Linked DNA regions of Nothobranchius furzeri. The protein of the gene in region 2 interacts with the protein of the main gene of each other region in a biochemical or structural test. Links are inferred from orthologs where the notes say so. Each region holds a gene or a part of one and is shown on either strand. Other genes may lie near its edges.

What was found.
Region 1: the proteins of fcho2 (region 2) and dab2 form a complex in vitro, tested with the Homo sapiens proteins (2 studies listed by BioGRID). The link is inferred for Nothobranchius furzeri from reciprocal best matches to the Homo sapiens genes FCHO2 and DAB2.

What each region holds. Positions count from the first base shown.
Region 1 is NC_091746.1:66,238,524-66,249,660, forward strand, and holds dab2 (disabled homolog 2), read right to left. Parts: upstream 10,693-11,137; 5' UTR 10,552-10,692; intron 8,513-10,551; 5' UTR 8,339-8,512; coding exon 8,200-8,338; intron 5,441-8,199; coding exon 5,301-5,440; intron 5,205-5,300; coding exon 5,106-5,204; intron 5,024-5,105; coding exon 4,892-5,023; intron 4,781-4,891; coding exon 4,697-4,780; intron 4,465-4,696; coding exon 4,438-4,464; intron 3,724-4,437; coding exon 3,691-3,723; intron 3,608-3,690; coding exon 3,545-3,607; intron 2,963-3,544; coding exon 2,354-2,962; intron 1,951-2,353; coding exon 1,827-1,950; intron 1,744-1,826; coding exon 1,135-1,743; intron 851-1,134; coding exon 654-850; intron 569-653; coding exon 494-568; 3' UTR 478-493; intron 406-477; 3' UTR 146-405; downstream 1-145. UniProt on the Homo sapiens protein: Adapter protein that functions as a clathrin-associated sorting protein (CLASP) required for clathrin-mediated endocytosis of selected cargo proteins.
Region 2 is NC_091746.1:66,676,534-66,687,670, forward strand, and holds part of fcho2 (F-BAR domain only protein 2), read right to left. Parts: intron 7,315-11,137; coding exon 7,240-7,314; intron 7,155-7,239; coding exon 7,013-7,154; intron 3,592-7,012; coding exon 3,439-3,591; intron 3,293-3,438; coding exon 3,188-3,292; intron 2,352-3,187; coding exon 2,253-2,351; intron 1-2,252. UniProt on the Homo sapiens protein: Functions in an early step of clathrin-mediated endocytosis. Has both a membrane binding/bending activity and the ability to recruit proteins essential to the formation of functional clathrin-coated pits.

The DNA.
Region 1 (11,137 bases), about 440 kb from region 2:
TTTAGTGCAGGGAAAAATAAAGGATCCTCTTACAACACAGACTTATCAGACTTAGATCTACACGTTCTGGCCTTTGAAATGCTTGGATTACTGCCACTTAAATATCAAAACAATAACCTGTCTAAAGAAAAAAATAATATACTACTTGTTGCATTAATAATGATTTATTTCTTTAACAAAGACAGCATTAGCAGTGAACTAAACATTCTTCACACCACTTTTTTGCCCCAGCAGATCATGACATAACATTTACATTGTGGATCAGTCAAATACAAACTTATCAAAACCAAAAGTGTAAAAGGATGTTTCGGGGACAAGAATAAGAAGAGTTCATTTGGATTGTCTTGCACAAAGCAGCTTGTCCCATTGGCGTGTTTCATGTGGAGTTCCATTTTCTCATTTCACCTGGAAAAGGTATAAAAATGAAAGATTTTCTTATAACAAAGATTTAATATTAAAACACAAATGTTTACTTACTGAGACAAATTTGTGTTCAAGCAAAAGGATTTCCAAAAACATCCCCAAAAGCATCTGTTGAGCCTGAGGTCTGGCCTGCAGAATTACTCTGCTGTAACACACAAAAAGTTAAAAAATAAATAAAATCTTTTTCCATAAAGAATCACAACAAAATGAGTCCATGAATACATTGTTACCATAGCTACAGGTGGTGCACCAAACGGGTTTGTCTCTGGGGCCCCAAATGCTTGGTCAAACATGTCCTGTCCCTGTGACGGGGCTGAACTCTTGGAGTTTGGAGCAGAAGAGAAGGCAGCATCAAGGTCAGGGGCAAAACATGGAGCTGGGGCAGCAACTGGAGCAGGAGTCAATGTCGAAAATGGCTTTGGAGCGTCTTAAAGACATGAGAAATTGTTACAGATTTCCTGGCATTAATCAGGGGTAGTCAAATCTCTTAGGGCTGGTATCCAGCATGTTTTAGTCATTTCCCTGCTCCAGCACAGTTGATTCAGCTGTTCAGTGGCTTATGGAGTTCTGCACAAGCCTGATAATCACCTTGTGATGAAGCAGCGAAACTGAACATGTCAAATACCAGAAATTAGGAAAGGGAGTCGACTACCCCGAGCGTTGATGCAACATTTACTTTCATATTTTGATCGACAGTCTGAGCTAGTTTACCAGGTGCCGACATCTGATTGATATCGAAGTCGTCGTGGTCTGCTGCATCCTGAGCCAGGCCCACTTTATTGGAGAAGTACTGATCAAACGCTCCTGACTCCTTGTTGCTGTGTGGAGGAGCAGAGCAAGGAGCAACCTCTCCCTTCCTAGCTGGGATAGCAGGGGGTTTGGCGATCTGAAAGTCCTTGAACATGTCCTTTCCGGTTTTTACCCCTTTACCTCCGAGGGGATCCAAAGCTGTAAAGGCGCTGTTCTCTACTCGTGGAGTGACTTCTTTAGCAGGTGGCCTAGGAGGGGGGCGGGATGGGCCATGCTGGTCTCCCATTACTACAAATGGGCCAGGCTGGAAAGGATTGGGTGGAACAGGCTGACCCCATTGGAGCTGGGGTGGAGAATGTGGTGGTGGAGAAAACGGTGGCATCACCTGTTGCCCCCAGGCTGGTGCTTGCATGTGAGCGCCAAAGGCAGGGGGTTGTGGAAAGCCGGGGGTTGTGCCAACCAGAGCAGTCACTCCTGGCATGGGGAACATGGCGGGTGAAGCAGCAGGGGCACCCCACATGCCTGCAGCAGGGACGTTCAGGGCAGCAAGTGGGCCCAACTGAAGGTTCCCTAAATGTGTTGAGGGGGAAATTTTCAGTAAGAGAATGAACCAAAGTCATTTGTATAAAATGACAGATTTTTGTGTGTTTTACCCAGAGCAGCTATAGAGGAGGGAGTGGGGTTTGTAGGCATGTTGTTGAATAGGTCGCCTGGAGTGGAAGCCTGCTCAGTAGGAGCAGTGAAGAGCTCGGCTCCAAACAGCTCACTTGATGCAGACTGATCACAGAAAAGAAGTCATTTTTCACATTAATGTACACTGAAATATCCTAAAATGGCAACTTTTAACCACAACTGAGCATGCGTGGAAAAAAATCCCCATTTACCCGCATGCCTTGCCACTTACCAAGTGCGTTTACCCCTGAAGCATGAGTGTTAGGAAAAGCATGAGTGGAAATGAGAAGAGTAGCCAAGATACAATAAAGTCAAACAAGAGAAGAACCCCAGTATAAGAGAACAGATCCAACTCCTATAGGACGGCAGAAAAGAAAAGCCTTGGATGGCATCTACACCCAGAACATTCACCACCATACCCTGGTTCTCTGAACAACCCCGTGGGAAAGGAAACGTTTAAAACCAACCCCCCCTCGTCATGCACTACTGTACTGCCGTGTCATTTCACCTTTGCACTCCTTCGACTTCGTCCACATTTCGAGTTCTGAGGAGGCGGGCTTATGACAACCGAGTCGTTGCTATGGGTCGCTGCTGGTTCTGGATAGGTCAGTATGCTGTTTAGGATGGAGGAGGTTTTCATAGAGGAGTCGAGGAATGGGTTTTTGGTTGCGAGTGCTTGCTGACTTTCACTCCCATCCATCATTGTTATTGAGGTGCCCTGAGTTATGCTGCCCCCAAGTGGCCACTGTCCATTACTGAGAGCAAGGATCATGGATTTACTGGACAACTCGTTTTTCTGTTGAAGATTTTCAGAGTCTCTATTCAAATGATTAAAAACTGGTTTGTTTGTGCCGTCAGCAGTGCTGTTAGGTAGGTCATTAGTGGTGAGGGAGTCATCAGGTACAAAACTAGTGGGGGATTTAGAAAGGGGATCGTCTCTGAAGGGGTCGCCATCTGGAGCTGGGAAGTAGCCGAAAGTGGATGAAAAGGAAATGTCTTTATGGAGGGCTGCCTTATAGTCTGGGTCACAGGAAGAGAGAAAGAAGCTATCCTTTATGCAATTTTGATTGCTGTCAACTTCCACAGAGAAGTCCAACAATAGAACTTCGTTAGAATCCTGGTTCACATGAGAGGGACAGTCAGACAAAAGAAAAAACAAACAAACAAACATTTGTAAATCAGTTCTGCAGAAAGACAAACAGGAGTTAACAGAATGAACAACGAATCACATGAGGAGGATGTGGCTTTTTGAAGCTGCAACCAGAAGAATAAACAAAATATTCAGACCTCATCTTCCAGTTCTGACCTTTTTAAAAAGGTAGATTAAATGGGCTCTATTCAGAGAGCCACTAAATTCTACTTGTAGCAGCTTCAAGATTAGATTAACATGAGGCAACAACTCAATTCTTAAAAATATCTTTACATTTCTGCTGACTTAAACAGCGCTTTAAGAATCGAGTTCACGTATTGCACAGAATCACCTTAAAAGCATTGCGTTCATTAGGTTGGATCAATTGTTACAAAAGAAAATCTGGTTTTAAAAGAAACATTCGGGGGGGTGAAGCCATTAGCCTGCAAAAGTTTACTGATGTTGAAAATGTTTTAGAAAATATGCAATGAGAAAGTAGGGATTTGGAAATCTAATAGAAGTACAACTCTAACATTTGTCATAGATAAGACCGTGGAATGCTCGACTTACATTTGGAACCTGGATGTCTGGAGGAGTCGTGATGTCTCCAAAAAGGTCATGCTGCTCCACTGGCTGGAGGAAAGGATAATCCAAAACCGGTTATCACCTTTTTTATTTTAAAAAGGCACATTTGTATCAAGTTATTACATCCCTACCTGGGCAGGTTTTCCATCATTGGCCTTCCCATTCTAATAAAAGCAGAAACAGTTCTTTCACACACATTATTCCAGGTACAATTGTTTTCTCTACATTCACAAGAAAGTCACATTGGACTTCATTTGCTACCATTAACATAAAATACATTCTGTAAAGATGCAAAAAGATGGCAGCAAATGATGGTGAAATTTAAATGTTGAAAATGTTTCAAACACTTTTTTCCTCATTTTATACAAGTCTTCAAACAAGTTGCTAATTTAAATTGTAACGTTTTTGCATAAAAGTTCAAACATGCCAACTTTGACTTACAAGATGCAAACAGGATACACTAGAACTGCATTAATCACGTTGTTTATTTTTACTATAAACTCAAGTTTTCCCCTCATAGCCAGGTCTGGAAAGTACAACGTTCATACTTGTGCAGATATGTCACAAAGCCCGATTTTTTTTTGTTTTTTTTGCATGCTTTCCTTCACGCATTATTAGTGTCGCTTTTAGCTGGCTTCAAATTTACCTTTTTTTTTTGCATAGTACTTTTACTTGATCTCTGCCTGCCATCTTTGACATGTATTTTTCTGCTTTGCTTTTAATGCGTTTTAGCCAATTCTTTAGTTTTATGCCGTTTCTGTTGTGTTTTGTACAGCACTTTGGTTAGCTGCCATGCTGTTTTTTATCTGTGCTTTATAAATTGGTATGGAATGGTATTTTGTGTCGATTTTCCACCCAAGTAACTTTAAAGTGCTTACCTCAACTACTGCAGTGCCATTTTCACCCTGTAAACACAGTTACGCCGTCAATGATTATGCAGGTTTTCCTGAGTTGTACCAACTAGTGAAACATTCCAGAGGAATGTCTGGAGGATGAGAGTCACTGAGAGAACACAATAAGGCAGTGTTGACTCTCAGCCCTCCCACTTGAACATGCAAAGTGACCCCTCCTCCCTCCATAAGAGAAAATAAAGTCCCAGTCTACCATAAGATGAAAGTGATTGGTTTAAACTGTCACCGTCTGTGAGGACTCTGCTTCTTTCTTCCTCATGTTGAAGATGACTTGGAAAAGATCTTTCAGATCAATGACAAGTGGCTCGGCCTGTTTAGAACAAAAGCGGTCATTGTTCACCTTTGTTTATGTATTTGCTTTACGTGTGTGTGTGTGTGTGTGTGTGTGTGTGTGTGTGTGTGTGTGTGTGTGTGTGTGTACCTGTTGTGCAGTTTTAATGGCAAAGAACTGATGCTGTCCTTCTGCTCCACACACATATCCAAATGCCCTGTTGTCCGTTACATCTCTGGCAATAAAGGAGATTTTGCTGACCGGATGCTCGTGCTCAATTACCTGAAGGCAGAGAATATTTTAAAAAGGCGCTGAAGTTTCACTTTATTACCTTTAATTTGCAGTTGGTGATGTCAAAACGCACTCCTGATTTCTCATCGATGATCTTAATACCCGACATGGAAATGATGACCCAGATTCTCTGTTTGTGCTTGCCTTGAGACCGAGCAGCTACCGCCATACCCTGCAGGAAGAAAATCACAATAATGCTACTCAACTGCAGCAAAACATGCAGGTCTATGCCAACAGGTACATGATGTACAAAATAGCTTTAATGTACCTTCAGCTTCATCATGGAGTCCTGGCACATTTTGTCTCCGCGAGCCTCCCGGACATCGTCGATGCCGATCAGCTTTGCTTTGTACCTCACTCCATCTCCTTGAAACCTTCCCAGCAGGTACTCATCTGTCTTCTCAGGCGCTACAATAGAAATGTTTGAGTCACTATTTAACATCCATTTCACAGGTTTAAAGATTGGTACACATTCCATGAGTATCTGGTGCAATTACTACAAGTTGTGTTTAACTTTTAAGAAAAAACTTGTGGGAAGTTCTTTGGAATTGTTCGTATCCATGCTATGAGCGTTTAAGTATTTTGCAGAGTTACAAATCCAACAGGAAGCACTGCTCTTCCATTTTGTGGAATAGCCTCTCCCTCCTCCCCAACCTCCCATTTCCTCACCTCATTACAGACATTTAGTTAATTGCCCACCAACTGGCCTGTTTTGACATTTTCCACAACAAACAGATTTTTTGTACTCTGTAAATTCTGACCAATAAGCAGCCTGGGGTTTTCAAGAGGAGGGTTTGAAGATAAAGATGTGCTGCAGCGCTCTTCAGATACTATTTCGAAGCATCCTATTTGCTGTGTTAATTTTCCATTTGAAGAAATAGCCGAAGGTTATTTTACAGATTGTTTGCAAAGCAGCAAAAAAAGACAGGTATTGATGTTTTTGCCCACCCGATCAACCAGATGGATTTTAAAAGCCGGATAACCAAGTAAAACCAAATCAAGATGGGTGCCACAGCCACGCAACATAAGCAAACAAACATGACGACTGAATTCCACAGACAGATCTATATTTGATGTTGGTAGCAGAGCGTTTCATAGCACGTACTCTAAAGGGCAAGCGCTTCATGTAAAATGTTGCCCAATTAAAAGAATTTAACCAGAATAGCTACAACAGTTCCAACATGGGAGTTTCAAACTCACAAAATGCAAAAATACATTGAAAAGAAAAAGATATACTAGAAAGTGATTGTCAAATGCATTGGCTGTGTTTGGACCATGAATTCTACCACCTAGAACGGTGTTACCACGAGGACTACCAGAGCTCCTGAAGCATTTCAGACTCTTACAGCTATGTGTTACACAAACAGAATCCCAAATATTCACTTCCAGCCAAAGAAAGTGCACAAAAAACACTAGCAATAAACCAAAGCAGATTGGGTACTTTACTGTCAGAAAAGGTTATTTTTCTTAAAGTGGGCAAACACTTTAATTTAATACGGTCGTTGTGGTCTCTAGCACGAATTAATGCCTTGCGAGTTCCTCTCAGGAAAAATACCCCAGCATTCCCGTTTCAGGAAGTAGAAGTTAGCCAGAGGAGATGGTTGGCAGGAAACTGCTGGATTTGAAGTCTTGCTCATTATTATTCACAATACTGGAACAGCTCACCTCTGATTGGCTAACAGCAAAACAACTCTTGCACTAACTTTGTTTGCTCTTCAATGTTGACGTTTTATCTTCTACCACAACAAACCTAAAGAAGTTCTGCTAATGCTAATGGTTAGCGTTATGGTTACTAGCAAAGATGTGCTCTGCTCTCTCCTGGATGCTAAACCAACAGGCTACCCCCAGTTGAGACAACAAGCAGTGTGGCTTTTTCTGACCCAAGCCTTTCCTCATCCATTTTCTTTCAGTGGCTGATGCAGGCAACAGGAGTAGAAGACTGTTTACATGTTCAGCATGTCACCACATGCTTGCTTAGTACGAGGATTGCTGTAAAGTCACTGACACTAGTAAGTGACTTGATGCGATTAGCTGGGTTCCTTATAGAGGAAACTTTTTTTCTGATTGGCTTAATGAACTGACCTGGATTGAAATGTTTACTATGTGAAGTGCCTTGAGACTTGGCGCTATATAAATAAAGTGGAACTGAAATGTGAACGTTAGCATGATTAGCGTGACCAATCACATTTCCAAGAGAAGAAATGGGCCTATTCCACGTTCTCAGTGGGCCTCACATTTAAAGAAATAGCTCTGCCACTTAGGTGCAGTTCAGAGGAAAACATGTTTAAAGTTGCAGACTGCTTTCCCCCTTTTGGGAAAAAACTAAAAGATGCAACAGGTGGGCAAGCTAATGATTAGTCACAATGGATTCAGGGACAGAGTCAATTGCTGTATTTTTTTTTAAATAAAACTGTCAATTCAGAATACAAAAAAAATGCCTTTTAAAACTACATCACCATTTCACATTTATTTAATAAAAGATTTTTTCCAAAAGTGTTGCCAATATACTGAACTGCTACATGTACGTAGCTCTGCTGCAAATGCTCTTTAGAATAATTTTACGAAATATTTCCAGCAGTGCAAATGTTTGTAAAATAAATAAATAAAACTGCATTTAAATGAAATTCTGACAAATTTGTGCCACTAAACACACTGGGAAACAGGAAGTAAACACCAATACCAGTCAATAGCTGTATTTTTCTTGAATAAAATGTAAATAGATTTTAAAGAACTTTTCCATTTAAAAAAAACTACGCTAGAGTGCTTTACAGTAGAATTGTGCATTTATTTATTTTTTTACAAAGAAAACGTGCAAATTTATGTACGGAAACTTTACATAAACAGTGGCTTTATTTATTTATTTATTTATTTATTTTTACAGTGTACAGTGCAATGTTTGAGGCTGCAGTAGTTAAACGTTCTGATAAACTATTTTACTCTATAGATGGAAAACTTCAATTCTGAGCATAAGAAATTTAAATATTTCAGATAAACAGTAAAGGACTCTTAATAGCATTTGAGTTTTCCCACTTCATCTCAAATTTATATTTTTATGTTACTTTGGAGAATCACAAACCTGCAGAAGTGACTCAAGAGCAAACCTAAAAATCAAACATTCATCGACCAATTAAGGAAACCTCCAGCTCATCGTGTTGTGCACCGCTCACCTTTCTTCTTTTCTTTCTTGAGCGAAGTCTTGGTTGCAGCTGACGCAGGGGAGCTGGGTGGGGTGTTGGTGCTTGGGGCTGTAGGTGGGGTGTTGGGATCAGCAGAGACTGGTACGCTGTTTTCCACTGCTGCAGACATGATGTGTGTGTGTGTGTGTGTATGTGTGTGTGTGTGTGTTGGGAGGGAGGGGAGGGTCAACCTCACTGGACAAGTGGCAATCTGAGGTAATGCAGACAGCAACTTTGAGATCTTGGGTAGTGATGTCGAGCGACGATCTGATGATTCTTCAACACCCACACATGCTTCTCTTGTCTGGAGCACAAAAAGGGAAGAAGACAGAATGGCTTCAGTGAAAGAAAATATATAGATAGGAGTTATGGCAGGAGTTATGGCACCAGGTAAACATGCTGAAGGACAATTAAATTCCTTCACTGCCAGACCAACTGCAGAAACACCGATAAGGAGAGGAATGAGATGCACGATCAATAAAAAAATCTCACTCATGAGATGCTCTTAAATCTGCCTTTAATTTTAAACAGGATTTGAGCTTTTTTTATGTGAAATTTTGATTTGAATGGTAGTCTTATTACAATCTGAAAATCCTGCAGAGCTTTAAAACATTTTTGTGACTTTCTCAGAAAGGAGAAACAAATCCTGTAAATCATCCAGCCAACGCATGTGACTCATCAGGTAATAAAACTTTCAGCTGAATCAGAGGACTAGCAGCCTCTCTTCACGGCCTTGACCGAATACTTCCATTTATCAGCTAAAAAGTGGAGTTGGCAGCAAAACAGGCAAACAAAAAAGTACTTAGAGAGCAGTTATAATAAAAAGCATTATTCAGACCTTTAATTAGTCAAAAAGCCACTATAAAGGTGAACAATCACTCATTCAGCTAAATGGAAAATAGAAAAAAAGCCATAAAGCTCTTCTGGCCTGCACAAGCACTGGAAAACCACCAACACAGACCCTGCTCAGCTTGACGTACCTTTAGAAGCAGCTCCAGAGGTAACACTGCTTCAGAGAACCAGAGAAAAAAGCCCGACTACTGCAGTGAAGACCAAAGTCCGGAAATGGGCAAAGGTTGAGCACTTAAAAGGTTAATCTTACGCCAACAGAGGAAACAGATCTCGTGATGCCCAGCTAGGCAAGTGCAAAAGAGTTTCACTGGGTCTGTTTCAGGATATAAACATTTCAGTAAAAGAAGGAAATCCTACATTTCTAATACTAGAGGATGCAAAAAACACAATCAAGCTAAAAAGTTGGATCCAGAGGAAACCAGAGTGACAGAATTAGAACTCCAGCGCACTTGCAGGTTAGAGAGTTCATTTCAGCTTTGTGACCAACAAGGTCACTACTAACACCAGATCATACAGAAAATAATCCCAACTCCTCTCGTTGGCTTTTAGATTAGATTTTCAAAAAGGAAGTCCTTTTCTTGCGCGGGGATAAAAACCATTGCCTAAACAGTCTCCAGTGGGACATGTGGGTGGCTAAATGGTTTATTAAAACCTGCTTAATTAAGAGGTTTGGAAAAGGGAGAGTCCCGTTTAACATTTCATTTTATTCAAATTCAAGCAATTTTTAACTTAAGGAGTTAGAAACTCCTGAATAAAATCCTGAATTTAACTGTCCCTCAAAGGTTTGGAAGTCAGTGTTGGTAGAATAATCTGTGATGTAAAAATCACTGCATGCTGATTGTGTCGTCAGGCCCCTAAAAAGACAAACTTTAGCACTTGTTAAATTGCACAAGCCTGACACATGATTGTTCCTGTCCATCACCCAGAGCCACTAATAAAACCACTAATGTCAGCACTTCCCTGCAGACCCGAGTTAAACGGTTACGCTTTAACAAGCACCTCGGAGAGAAGGCAATGGCTTTTATTAGAATGAAAGAGGAGAAACTGGAGCTTTTAACAGCAACCATTAGTGTCACCACACCAGAAACTGTTGAATTCATGTTCGTCAGCAGAACAGACAGCAGTGCAAGGGCTGAAATGTCACAATCCTGGGCCTCAGGAAATGTAAACTGCTGCACATCTGGAGGAAATAAGGAGAGTGAGTCAGTCTGCCAGTGAATGAGATGGTGAAATACCACAAAGGGCAGAAAAAACACTTTACAAACTTAGAAAAGATTTAAAACATCAAAGTCCAAAAACTTTAGTGAGCTTTGGAGGCAAAAGAGGCATCAGAAAAATAAAGCATTTGTTGTTTTTCCAACATGAAATTCACTTCCACACTTGTTAAGCTGGTTCAACTGAAATGCCAAAAGCAACTTTTAATTTACCTCCAGAGTTGAGACTGCTCCCAAGTTTTAAAGCACTGATAGAAAACAGGGGGAAACAGCCTACCTGTTTAAAAAAGCTCCAGATGGGACGCTGAAGATGTTTGTTGCGGTGAAGCCTCCACGATCCTGCTGCTGAATCAGTCTAACCTACTTCAGCCTTGGAAAAAGAAAAAGAAAAAAAAAGAGCAGCACAAACCCGAGCAGGAGCTAGAGAGGGTTTAGTGCTAAATACCGAGGGCAGAAAGAAGGGAGGCTGCAGAGAGCTCTGGGTTTAACCCTTCACTCACTCACTGCTATTTCAGCTGGTAGGGGGGCGGGGCTCTGCACATGTGGGTAAATTAGACATCACATGTGTGATGCTTCTATGCTGTCATGAAAAATAACAACATTTTGTATGTTTACAACTCATTAAAGCATTAATTTCTGTTTTTTTTTCTTCATTCTAATGAGACAATAAAAACATTCTAGTGAAATGACCAGATTTAGACACTGCCACAGTGCAGGTCACTTTAAGGTTACAATTTCATTGTTGGCTTGAAAAGCATCATTTTAGCAAAAGGTACACCAAATTTTGGATTTGCAATTATTTTATTATTGAGTTCACAAACTCTGCAGGGTGCAGTCATTAAGGACTGACTGAACAGGTGTGC
Region 2 (11,137 bases):
AGATAATGGAATTTTAAGAATCTTTTATCCTATTTTATGTGAAGGGGTTTGATTTTAAATGTATGTATTTTAATGGTAAATAACTTTCAAAATGTCTGAATTGTCAAAATAGAAATAAATCGTTATCGTGATTTTGCAAAAACAATATCGTGGTATGATAGTTTTTCCATATCGCCCACCGCTAAATGCTAGATAGATTCATAAACAGTTGCATGCTGACTGGTCAGTTTACCCCTATGACTCTGACATTCAGCTACGGACCTATCTGGCATTCATTCAAAATGTGGATATTCCAAGTGCATCTTAGAATGTTTCATGTGTGCTCCGACATTTTTCTTTGTCGTTTCCCTCTTGTCCAACGGGGATGCTAGCAGTAGCTCAGACTAGCATCATTTGCAGTTAGCATTACCACAACCAACATTTCTATTTTGCCAACACAGAAGTGGGTGGTGATGTGGGTGTGTCTATGCTTATGATGAGTTAAACCAGATGTTCTCAGATCGGACCGTTTCTGCATGGCCGTTACAACATTACTGACAAAGGAAAGCAGGTCGGAGTTTGTTACATTAGATACACCAAGCTGTCTATGTTCAACAACAACTTGGTTTTGTTTTCTAGGGCCCCTTTAAATAATTCACAGATTAAGAAGGCACTTCACGAAGTAAACAGCTGTGTTCAGTTCATTATGCCAAGTTGTTAAGTTCTGTCAGATAACCATAAACATTATCATTCCCCCCCTTTCCACTAAGCAAAACTGCATTTAACCACCAAAAACCTGTGATCATAGAATCTGAAGGGTTAATTTCCTCTAGTGTTAAATCTTAAGTAAATTTCTGTACTTCAGTTTTGAATTTGAGATCCAAGAGACAACTGTAGAACAGCAACCAATCAGTGAGCAGCATGCTGACCCATAAAGGGCCGCCTGAGGGTGGGTATTGGTGGTCAAGTGTTAAGATATAAGAGTTAGTTAGTAATTCATTGGTTCAAATAAAAACTGTCTTGAAAAATAAAATTTAAACACTACTCAAAAATCTAAAACTGTAAGAACATTTACAATACAACAATAAATGCAATCATTTTAATTATATTTACTTAGATTTCAAAGTGCACGTGTGTAAAAGCAACTTACAAAGCATTTGAATATTTTATTTTAAGTACAAGTATATCCTAATGATTTTAGGTATGTGTGTGTGTGTGTGTGTGTGTGTGTGTGTGTGTGTGTGTGTGTGTGTGTGTGTGTGTGTGTGCCTATGTGTGTGTGTGTGTGCAACAGTGCACACCACGGAGTCCATTAATACAGTTGAGCAGCTGCTCTCTGCATCCTGCAGCCTACTCTTTGAGATGACACTCCCAACTTCCTATCTGCCATTAAATGATTATTTCATCAACAGATAAAGACCCTCCGGTCTGCAGACTAACCACCCGTCTTCAGTCAGAGTTGAATGTGGTCGAGCAACATGCAGCATCTACAGCTCAGAGGGAGGAGCAGCACGACTGATGCCCAACATTTTTCACAGTTTGCTACCAAAGGGAAGCTAGACGGGGTTTTCCTTTTCCTTTGATGAAACAATGCCGCCCTCTGCAGGTAGTGAGACAAATAGAGCAGCATTGCTGCTACATATGGATGAATACACACAAGCTGAATAATGACTAGTGTAGTATTTGAATGCTACTTTTAAGATTTTACAACTAGATGCAGTTTTCTCAAACCTAAATACACTTTTTCAAAAACTATGACCATAGTTAAGAGGTCAGAATGTGCCTCTAGAGCTGTTTTTACAGGACCATAGCGTTTGCAAAACGGGATTTGCCACGGCTCCCACCTCCGCGTTAGCTGTGGGTTAGCTTCAAGTTAGCTTGTAGCTAGTTCAACCGGGTGTCGTCAGTTGATCCCAGCCTTACAACCCCACTCTCAGCTCCTCCTCTCTTCCCTTTTGTGGAATTGTCTGGGCTTGACGGAACCTGTGACACGGTCAAAATGGCGGTGGTGGCCACCTCCCATTTCTCCTCAAAAACGTTATTGGAGCCTATGGAAACCCATTGTCCAATATTTATATGTCGATGCTTTATAGACATACCATTGCGGTAATATTACGCTGATTTGCCGTCATGGTGTGTCTTATAAAAAGGGCTTATTACTCACTCAGAGGTATTAATCAGTTTTAGCAGCTAAGCAAAAGAGATGGACATATCACTTCCTGTTTTTCAGTGATTCTACATGCAGGTGTGTCTGAGAGGACACGTGCACTCACCTCCCCTATCTGAATGTGCGTTTCCTCCACCGACTGCGAGTACGACCGAATGATCTCTTTCATTTGGAGGACGTGGTTTTCTTCTATGTCTTGGAATTTCTGTAACAGATTTATGATACTTGTGGTTTCAGTGAGGTGAAGCAACACAGCAGGCACTCATAACCAAATTAACTGCCTGCTGACAAATTCAAATCATGATTTCTGTCTCATAAAACTGACAAGAAAACAAAAATAAGAAGCTAAATGAAGCCAAGGGATCATCGTCTTCATTACACTGTGACTTCATGCATGACTGTTTGGGTGGTCTGAGGCCAAATCACGCTGGTATTGATATTCTGGATGTAAGCTGAAGTGCACAAGGCTTTTGGGACGATAAAAGAAAAATTTTAAATACACGTAAAGTGGAAAAATCATAGCGTGAGATTAGAGAAGATCAGCCACATACTTCTGCCTTCTACCGGTTAGAAAACACACACACACTGACAAAGAAAACACACATGTAGGAGCTGCAGTGATGTCAGACAGCACATGTGTTCTGTGTTTATAATATACGCCCACATGTGTGGTGGGAGATGAGCCGTGCACGGGGATCCAGGGGAAGCAGGGCTGCACCGCAAGAATCTCCAGGTTTTAACTGGAACCAGCTTCAGTGACGGAGCTGCTGCGGCTACAGGAGGATGTAGAGACCAAATCCTTCCGATCTGATTTTAATTTAGAGTTTATCTAATCAGCCCTTCACATGGATCCAATCAGTGCTTTATTTTCCACAATGATCTCATTATGGAGGAAAAAACACAATCTGGAGACGATGCAGGCCACAAAACATGGAACAGGCGTGCAGCGGACGATTGCACAATGAAGTGTTGTGCGCTACAAAGGGCAGACAATACGCAGAGCTTGTGAGAGAACAAAACACCAGCTAAGATGTCTAATACCTGCGCAGTTTCTGCCATCTTCTGTTCAAACTCAGACTTGGCTGTGGCGTATTTCTCCACGTAGGACTTGTAGGTCTCCGTGGCTTTTTTGGCTTTCACTCCAGCCTGTGAACAAACGGATAAATGACTTTCAAAGGCTGCACATCTTTCTGCATCAACAGAAAAATCAGGGCAGGCTTAAAGTTTCTGTGTGACACACTTCAATCATGCCTTATGAGCTCAAGTGTTTGCATAAGCGTGTGACCTCCCACCTTGTCCACATCTCTCTGGGTGGCCCCCTCTTTGCGGAGGCGCTCCTGCTCCACCGTTTTGGCATTGTAGATCTCCTTAGACTTCTGGAGTGCCTGGGAGATGGACTGTATGTTCTGGACGGCTTCCAGGGTTGGTGCTACTTCCTCTTTCGTCTGAAAGATAACCAAACAATTAGTGCAACTCTCCCCCCACCCCCCGAAGTGTGACAACACTTGTCCTGAAACATCTTTGTTAATTGTTTGTAAAAGTCACTGATACCAGAGCGAGGTCCACACAGGCCATTTAACATCGGCGAACAGTTACCTTCAAGGCCTCTTGGCTACGACACCATTATGGTAAGATGCAGACATCTCTCGTTTTATTTATTTGAATGTTTTTTACAACTTTGAATGTCTAAACACAAAGCACACAGCAGCAGGTTACAAAAGGAGAAATAAAGCAGAGAGAGCGGACGTTTCAGAGAGAAACAGTCACAATAACGAGCACAAACACAACCTTGGCAGCATGGTTGAGCTTCTAATTGGCTTTGTGTTCTCTAGCTTCAGACAAAAAATATAAACTGATACTAGAGCGCTGCCTTGGGACTGGATTCAACAGGTGCTGAGGGAGCGGGCGGCTAAAAATAGATTGCAGGTCCCGAGATGGTCAGTCGGATGATTGGGACTGGTTATCAAATTAACCCTTTGATGCATGAATTATGAAATCTTCAACCATGATTTTTTTAACAATTTTTTTCATTCGTCTTTAGGTGTGAATGAAACAAATTTCAACAAATATTTTTTGTAAAACTTTATAATTTACAAATAATTTATTACATGTCCACCTCAGTGGACAGCGTGCAATCTGAACATGAAATTTGTTTGCTTGGCTTACTGAAGTCCAAATGGAGGGGCTCAAATGCAATAAAGTCTTCAACAGCTGTGCTTAATAGCAAAAACAAATAAATAACAATTTTGAGTACTTGTCCACTGTAGTGACCATTATGCATCAAAGGGTTAAGACTAGAGGATAAAACTGCAGAAAAGGATGAAGAATCCCATATATGGAAAAGAGTGTTTACCAGAAACAAAACAAGCTGTGCATATGGGCCTAATTGATCGTATTAATGAATGGGCCTGCAGGTGGAGGGTAGTGCTGGAGAGATGATGGACAGAAACGTCAGTGGAAGCGGGATTTAAAGATAGTTCTGCACACGGCTCTAACTGATATCACAAAACAAGAAAAAACAAAAACATTTGGACTGCACAACTAAACAATCATATTTAACGCTTCTATGTAAAGTCTGTTTCAGAGTACAACCACCTCCTGCTGCCTTGCTCATTGGCAGGGATCACTAGGACCATGCTGATTTGAATGAAACAGGCAGGTTTTCACGCTCTTGTTCTTTTTGAAATACAATCAGTTAATTGTTAATTTTATTTTCTCACTCAGCAGTTTCATTCATCATTCATGCAAAATGCAATCATCAACAGTCTTCTAAGTGAAAAATAAGGGGGAGGAAGAAGAAGTCACTCTGAATTGTAAACTCTTGCTGAACGTGAAACTCTCCCATCACTTGCAGAAAGGAAATAGACTGGAAAACCATCCCGTCAGAAAAAGCCAGTTTCTTCTATGTTACAGGGAATTTTAGTATTCATTTAGGAAGGGCACGCCCACCCTGGCCTGTGACCTTGGGAGGCTGTATTCCTTTTGTGGCCAGGAGAGAGCAGAGTGTGTTTAGGCGAATAGAAGCTAACCATTAGCATTAGCAACTCTGACACGTCCAGACTTTATTTGTGAAGATAAAACATTAATGTTGCATTTTTACAGTGTTCTGACTTTTGTTAACGACTGACTTTTGTTGCTATTAGCCAATCAGAGACTAGACATTTGGTTTTAATGAATATTATTAGACCCGGCCGTTCTCTGCCCCCCGACTCCTCTGACATACTTCTACCTCCTGAAACAGGAGCACCAGAGCATTTTCCCCAAACGACCAACATGGCATCATTCACAGTAGAGACCACAGCAGATTTATTAAAAAACAGTGAATGAGACCTTTAAGTTATCAGGTAAAAAAATGAGACTAAACTGGTGACCAGAACACTAAATTGACCCGCATGCACATGCTGGTGGCATCTAATTTACAATGATGTTTCAGAACCGGCTGATGTCAGTGGTGAAAGAGACAGAAGATCTATGTGAAGTTCTTGTTATAACAACAAGGTTTGTGAACAGGCCGTCACCTACGAGTGTGCAGTTGGTCAGTGATCAAAGGTCAAACTCATTCCCATAAACTTTGTGTTTACATTTTAACAGAATGCCAGGAAAGGGCTCTGCAGCGGTCTTATTGCAAAGCCAGAAACACGGTGTACTGAGTGTGCTGTGCTCCGACAAACTCAACAACACAAAGCTGTTTACCAAGTCAACCACAAAGTGCAAAAACAAGGTCACAACCTCTAAAATAAAAGCATGCATTACTGATGCATGTTGAAGACAGATTTATGTTAGTATAGACCCTACTCATAGAAAATAATTAGTCTGGAACTGGATTTCCTGCTTTAACTTAAAGGGACTTGACGGACTTTTGAATTTTTATGCTCGCGACTGCCCCTTCAGGCCAAAAGCATAACGGCAGCTTCAATAGTAGGCTAGTGTACGAGGCACGCATGCTGTACGTGCACACTCCTTAACGGAAAAAAAAAACAGCTGAGACAGTCGTGTGTGTGTGTGTGGGTGGGGGTGGGGGGGGGGGCGGAGGACAGGAGAACGTGCAGCTAATTAATTACATTATTTGGTTCTGTACCTTTCTCTTCAGCACAGCCGACAAAGGTTTAAGATGGGTCAGTCCTCCTGCATGCTCAGATCATTCCCTTCCCTTGCTTGAAAAATTGTTCCAAAATGAAAGTTGAACCCACATCTTTTTCTATCTGTGAATTCAATGCCGTTTGGCGAGTCTCAAATAAAAATTTGGGCATCTTACTGTAAAAAAATACCATTAATGTAAAAAAGAAACTCTAAATAAACTATGTTCACATCCAGAATCGAACCCAGGACTTCTGCATGAGAGTCAGACATCTTACAAGGTTAGCTACACTCTAGTAACATTCACAGTATCTGTAACATTTATATCCTTGATGACAGCTGAAACAACGTCAAACCAAAGAACGGTTCGGAGCGAAAATGGCTATTTTGTTGCTAATCTGCAGTAAATATCTAGAAGAAAGTTCTACAGAAAGTAGCTAAGGGTCCTCATAAATGTAGCTAGGTTCATCACTAGGCGTTAGGAACAGCGACAAAGTCGCTGAGTTGCCACTGCCTCTCTCTCTGCTGCTAAATCTACGGATAGCAAATGCTACGGGCGATGCCTGAGCATGAAGCAGCCTGCTCAACCCGAGCATCTCTCTTTTTCTGTCATTTTACAGAAAAACAGGCAATCACAGTAAAAATGCCAGGGCTCATTCTACAGGACCAGGGCATTGCAAGAGAATGCATGAAGAAGACATTTATTATTTCTATACATGTTTTGGCTGTCAAACTTCCTTAGAGTCCCTTTAAATACAAAGGTATTTAAACAGATGTGCACGTCCTTACCTTCTTGTGTGCTTTGGCCTGCTCTTCCACATACTTCTGTACTTCTTTTATAAGTTCTTGTAGTTTCCTCACCAGCTCTAAGTGACAACCAGCAAGCTTCTCTGTTGAACTCTTGAATATGTCCCACATTGGAGCAAATGTCCTGAGAGCAAGGGTGGCATGAAAATGTTAATACTCTCGTTGTTAGGGCTGTTTTCTTCTAAAGGGTTGAAAAGGTTCGAACTCACCCAAGCTGAGAGAAGTTTCCAGCTGATTTGGCAAGTTTGGTCATCGACCGAGCGTAGGACTCTTCTATGGTACTCCTAGAGAGAAGAGGAAGCAATGTTTGACTCCACAGTGTCCCTTAATGTCCCTTTTTATTCTCCACCATAGTGACAGGCTGAATCTGCGAGGTAAAGTTTGAATCATCCATGTTTTTTTCAGCCATCCTGTCTCTGCAGTCACATCACAGGAACAAGGTCAGACGGGGGAAACAGGTCAACCGTGGTCATTCAACCACACACCTATCCATCTTTAACCTCCTCCAAGATCAGTAGAATGTTTTATTTAAGACTTTATTGTGTTGATCTTGTTGTGGAGGAGAACTAAAGTAAAAATCCCCAAAAAAGCATAAATAAGAGTAAAGATCATCACCCCAGTCAGATGTTTTCTGACAAGGACACTGGAACATTTTCTCTCTTTAGCATGAACAGAGGCAAAGGTTTTAACTGCTGATTTTTGTTAAATTCTCTGTTAGCAGGATTGCACAAAAACCAAAAGTCTGAGTTTCTGGTGGAAAGTGGAGCAAATCCATGACAATTAGGGATGTCCAGATATTGATATCGGCCCCAAAACACTGTATCGGATTATATCGAACTGCATCAAAATTCTCCAATATTAGCAGTATGTTCTGCTTTAAATTCCATTCCAGCAACTCTGTCCATCAGCGCCCAGATCCAGCATCAACGTCCCCGTGATCAAAACAGTGTGTGCTAGCAAAGTAGCAAGGAACAATGTTGGCCGTGTGGCTGTGGTTTTTGTTAAAGTCTGAAAAAGACTCAAACCGGGGAAGATTAATACGTCCAACCTCATTTGAAGCAGGATCACAAATGTGTGTGTGAAATTGAAACTTTAGACACTGAACTTGTAGCAGCTGGTCAGTGAACAATATTGTGTTTTTTCCTTATGTCCCTAACCTCAGCCGTTCACATTTATTCAACCAAAGGTTACTAAAAAACTGGTGAGTTTTTTATACTTACTGTTGCTGGCTTTTGTTTTCTGTTTGAGTGATATCACTTGATCAAGACTTTTATACATTACACACTATGAAATAAGTAAAAGTATGTATGATTTGTGCTGATATCTTATCGGATTTGTATCGGTATCGTTCAATACCGAAGGCTGCGATATCGGTGTGGTATCGGAAATGAAAAAGTTGTATCGGGACATTCCTAATGACAATTACTTTTCTAAGCTAAAGTCATCGTTTTAAATGTTTAAAACTTAATACTGGCTAGTTGCTCTTATTATTCATGATCATTGATTTTACGCATTAGTAATTTACTGTGTGTCGAGTGGTGTTTCGTTATTGGACTTCTGTGCAAGCCGCAGTTTGGCCATAACGAACACCATGTTCGAACAAAAGGATGCCCATCGGTACACTTGGTACCAGGGCAGCCTAGGTCGCAGGTCGATGATAGACTTTGTAGTCGTATCATCTGACCTGCGGCCGTATGTTTTGGACACCCGAGTGAAGAGAGGAACGGAGCTGTCAACTGATCACCACCTGGTGGTGAGTTGGATCAGATGGCAGGGGAAGATGCCGTGTAGACCTGGCAGACCCAAACGCATAGTGAGGGTTTGCTGGGAACGCCTGGCAGAAGAACCTGTTAAGACGGTCTTCAACTCCCACCTCCGGCAGAGCTTTGACCGCGTCCCGAGAGCAGTGGGGGACATTGAGTCCGAGTGGGCCTTGTTCCACTCTGCGATTGTTGAGGCGGCTGTTGCTAGCTGTGGTCGCAAGGTGGCCGGTGCCAGTCGTGGTGGCAACCCCCGTACCCGCTGGTGGACACCAGAGGTTCGGGGAGCCGTCAGGCTGAAGAAGGACCCCTACAGGGTGTGGCTGGTCTGTGGGACTCCGGAGGCAGCAGACAGGTACCGGATAGCCAAGCGGGGTGCAGCAGTGGCAGTTGCCGAGGCAAAATCTTGTACGTGGGAGGAGTTTGGTGAGGCCAATGAGAAAGACTATCGATCGGCTCCAAAGAGGTTCTGGCAAACTGTCCGGCGCCTCAGGCGAGGGAGGCAGCAACTCGCTCACACTGTCTACAGTGGGGATGGCGAGCTGCTGACGTCAACTGGGGCTATAGTCGGACAGTGGAAGGAATACTTTGAGGAGCTCCTCAATCCCACCTAAGCGCATTCTGAGGAGGAACCAGAGCCGGCAGACCTGGGGATGGACTGTCCAATCTCGGGGGCAGAAGTTGCTGAGGTAGTCAAACAACTACACAGCGGCGGAGCCCCGGGGGTGGATGAGATTCGTCCTGGGTATCTCAAGGCTATGGATGTTGTAGGGCTGTTGTGGTTGACACGTCTCTGCAACATTGCGTGGTCATCGGGGGCAGTACCTGTGGAGTAGCAGACCGGGGTGGTGGTCCCCATCTTTAAGAAGGGTGACCTGAGGGTGTGTTCCAACTATAGGGGGATCACATTCCTCAGCCTCCCTGGAAAGGTTTACTCCAAGGTACTGGAGAGGAGGGTCCGATCGATAGTTGAATCTCAGATTGAGGAGGAGCAAGGTGTTTTTCATCCTGGCCGTGGAACTGTGGACCAGCTCTATACCCTTGCAAGGGTGATGGAGTGGGCATGGGAGTTTGCCCAACCAATCCACATGTGTTTTGTGGATTTGGAGAAGGCTTATGACCGTGTCCCCAGGGGCACCCTGTGGGGGACGCTCCAGGAGTATGGGGTGGGTGGCTTTCTGTTAAGAGCCATTCAGTCCCTTTACCAGAGGAGCGTGAGTTTGGTCCGCATAGCTGGTAGTAAGTTGGACCTGTTCCCGGTGAGGGTTGGACTCCACCAGGGCTGCCCTTTGTCACCGGTTCTGTTCAAAATCTTTATGGACAGAATTTCTAGGCACAGCCGTGGTGTGGAGTGTGTCGAGTTTGGTGGCAGGAGAATCTCGTCTCTGCTTTTTTGCGGATGATGTGGTCCTCCTAGCTTCATCCAGCTCTGATCTTCAGCTCTTGCTGGGTAGGTTCGCGGCCGAGTGTGAAGCGGCTGGGATGAGGATCAGCTCCTCCAAACCTGAGACCATGGTTCTCGACCGGAAAAGGGTGGCTTGCCAACTCCGGGTCGGGAGAGAGGTCCTACCTCAAGTGGAGGAGTTTAGGTATCTTTGGGTCTTGTTCACTAGTGAGGGTAGGAGGGATCGGGAGATCGACAGGCGGATTGGTTCGGCGTCTGCAGTGATGCGGACACTGAGCCGATCTGTCGTGGTGAAGAGGGAGCTGAGCCAGAAAGCAGGCTCTCGATTTACCGGTCGATCTACGTCCCAAGCCTCACCTATGGTCATGAGCTTTGGGTAATGACAGAAAGAACGAGATCGCGGTTGGACTCCGCCAGGGCTGCCCTTTGTCGACATAAGCGACCGAAATGGGTTTTCTCCGTAGGGTGGCCGGGCTCAGCCTTAGAGATAGGATGAGGAGCTCGGACATTCGGGAGGGACTCGGAGTAGAACTGCTGCTCCTCCAGATCGAAAGGAGTCAGTTGAGGTGGTTTGGGCATCTGGTTAGGATGCCTCCTGGAGGCCTCCCTGGGGAGGTGTTTCGAGCATGTCCTGCCGCATGGAGGCCCCAGGTTTGACCTAGGACACGTTGGAGAGGTTACATCTCCAATCTGGTCCGGGAACGCCTTGGGGTCCTGCCAGAGGAGCTGGCCGGTGAGAGGACGATCTGGAGCTCCCTAGTTGGGATGCTGCCCCCGCGACCCGGACCCGGATAAGCGGAGGAAGACGACGAAGACGACGAGTAATTTACTGTGCTGATCCAACATAAAACATGACTATTGTCAACCAATCAATCAGATGATTTCCTCCAACATCGCTGACCCTGGCTTTTGTATTTTTACCTTTTGTACTGTAGGGTTTTT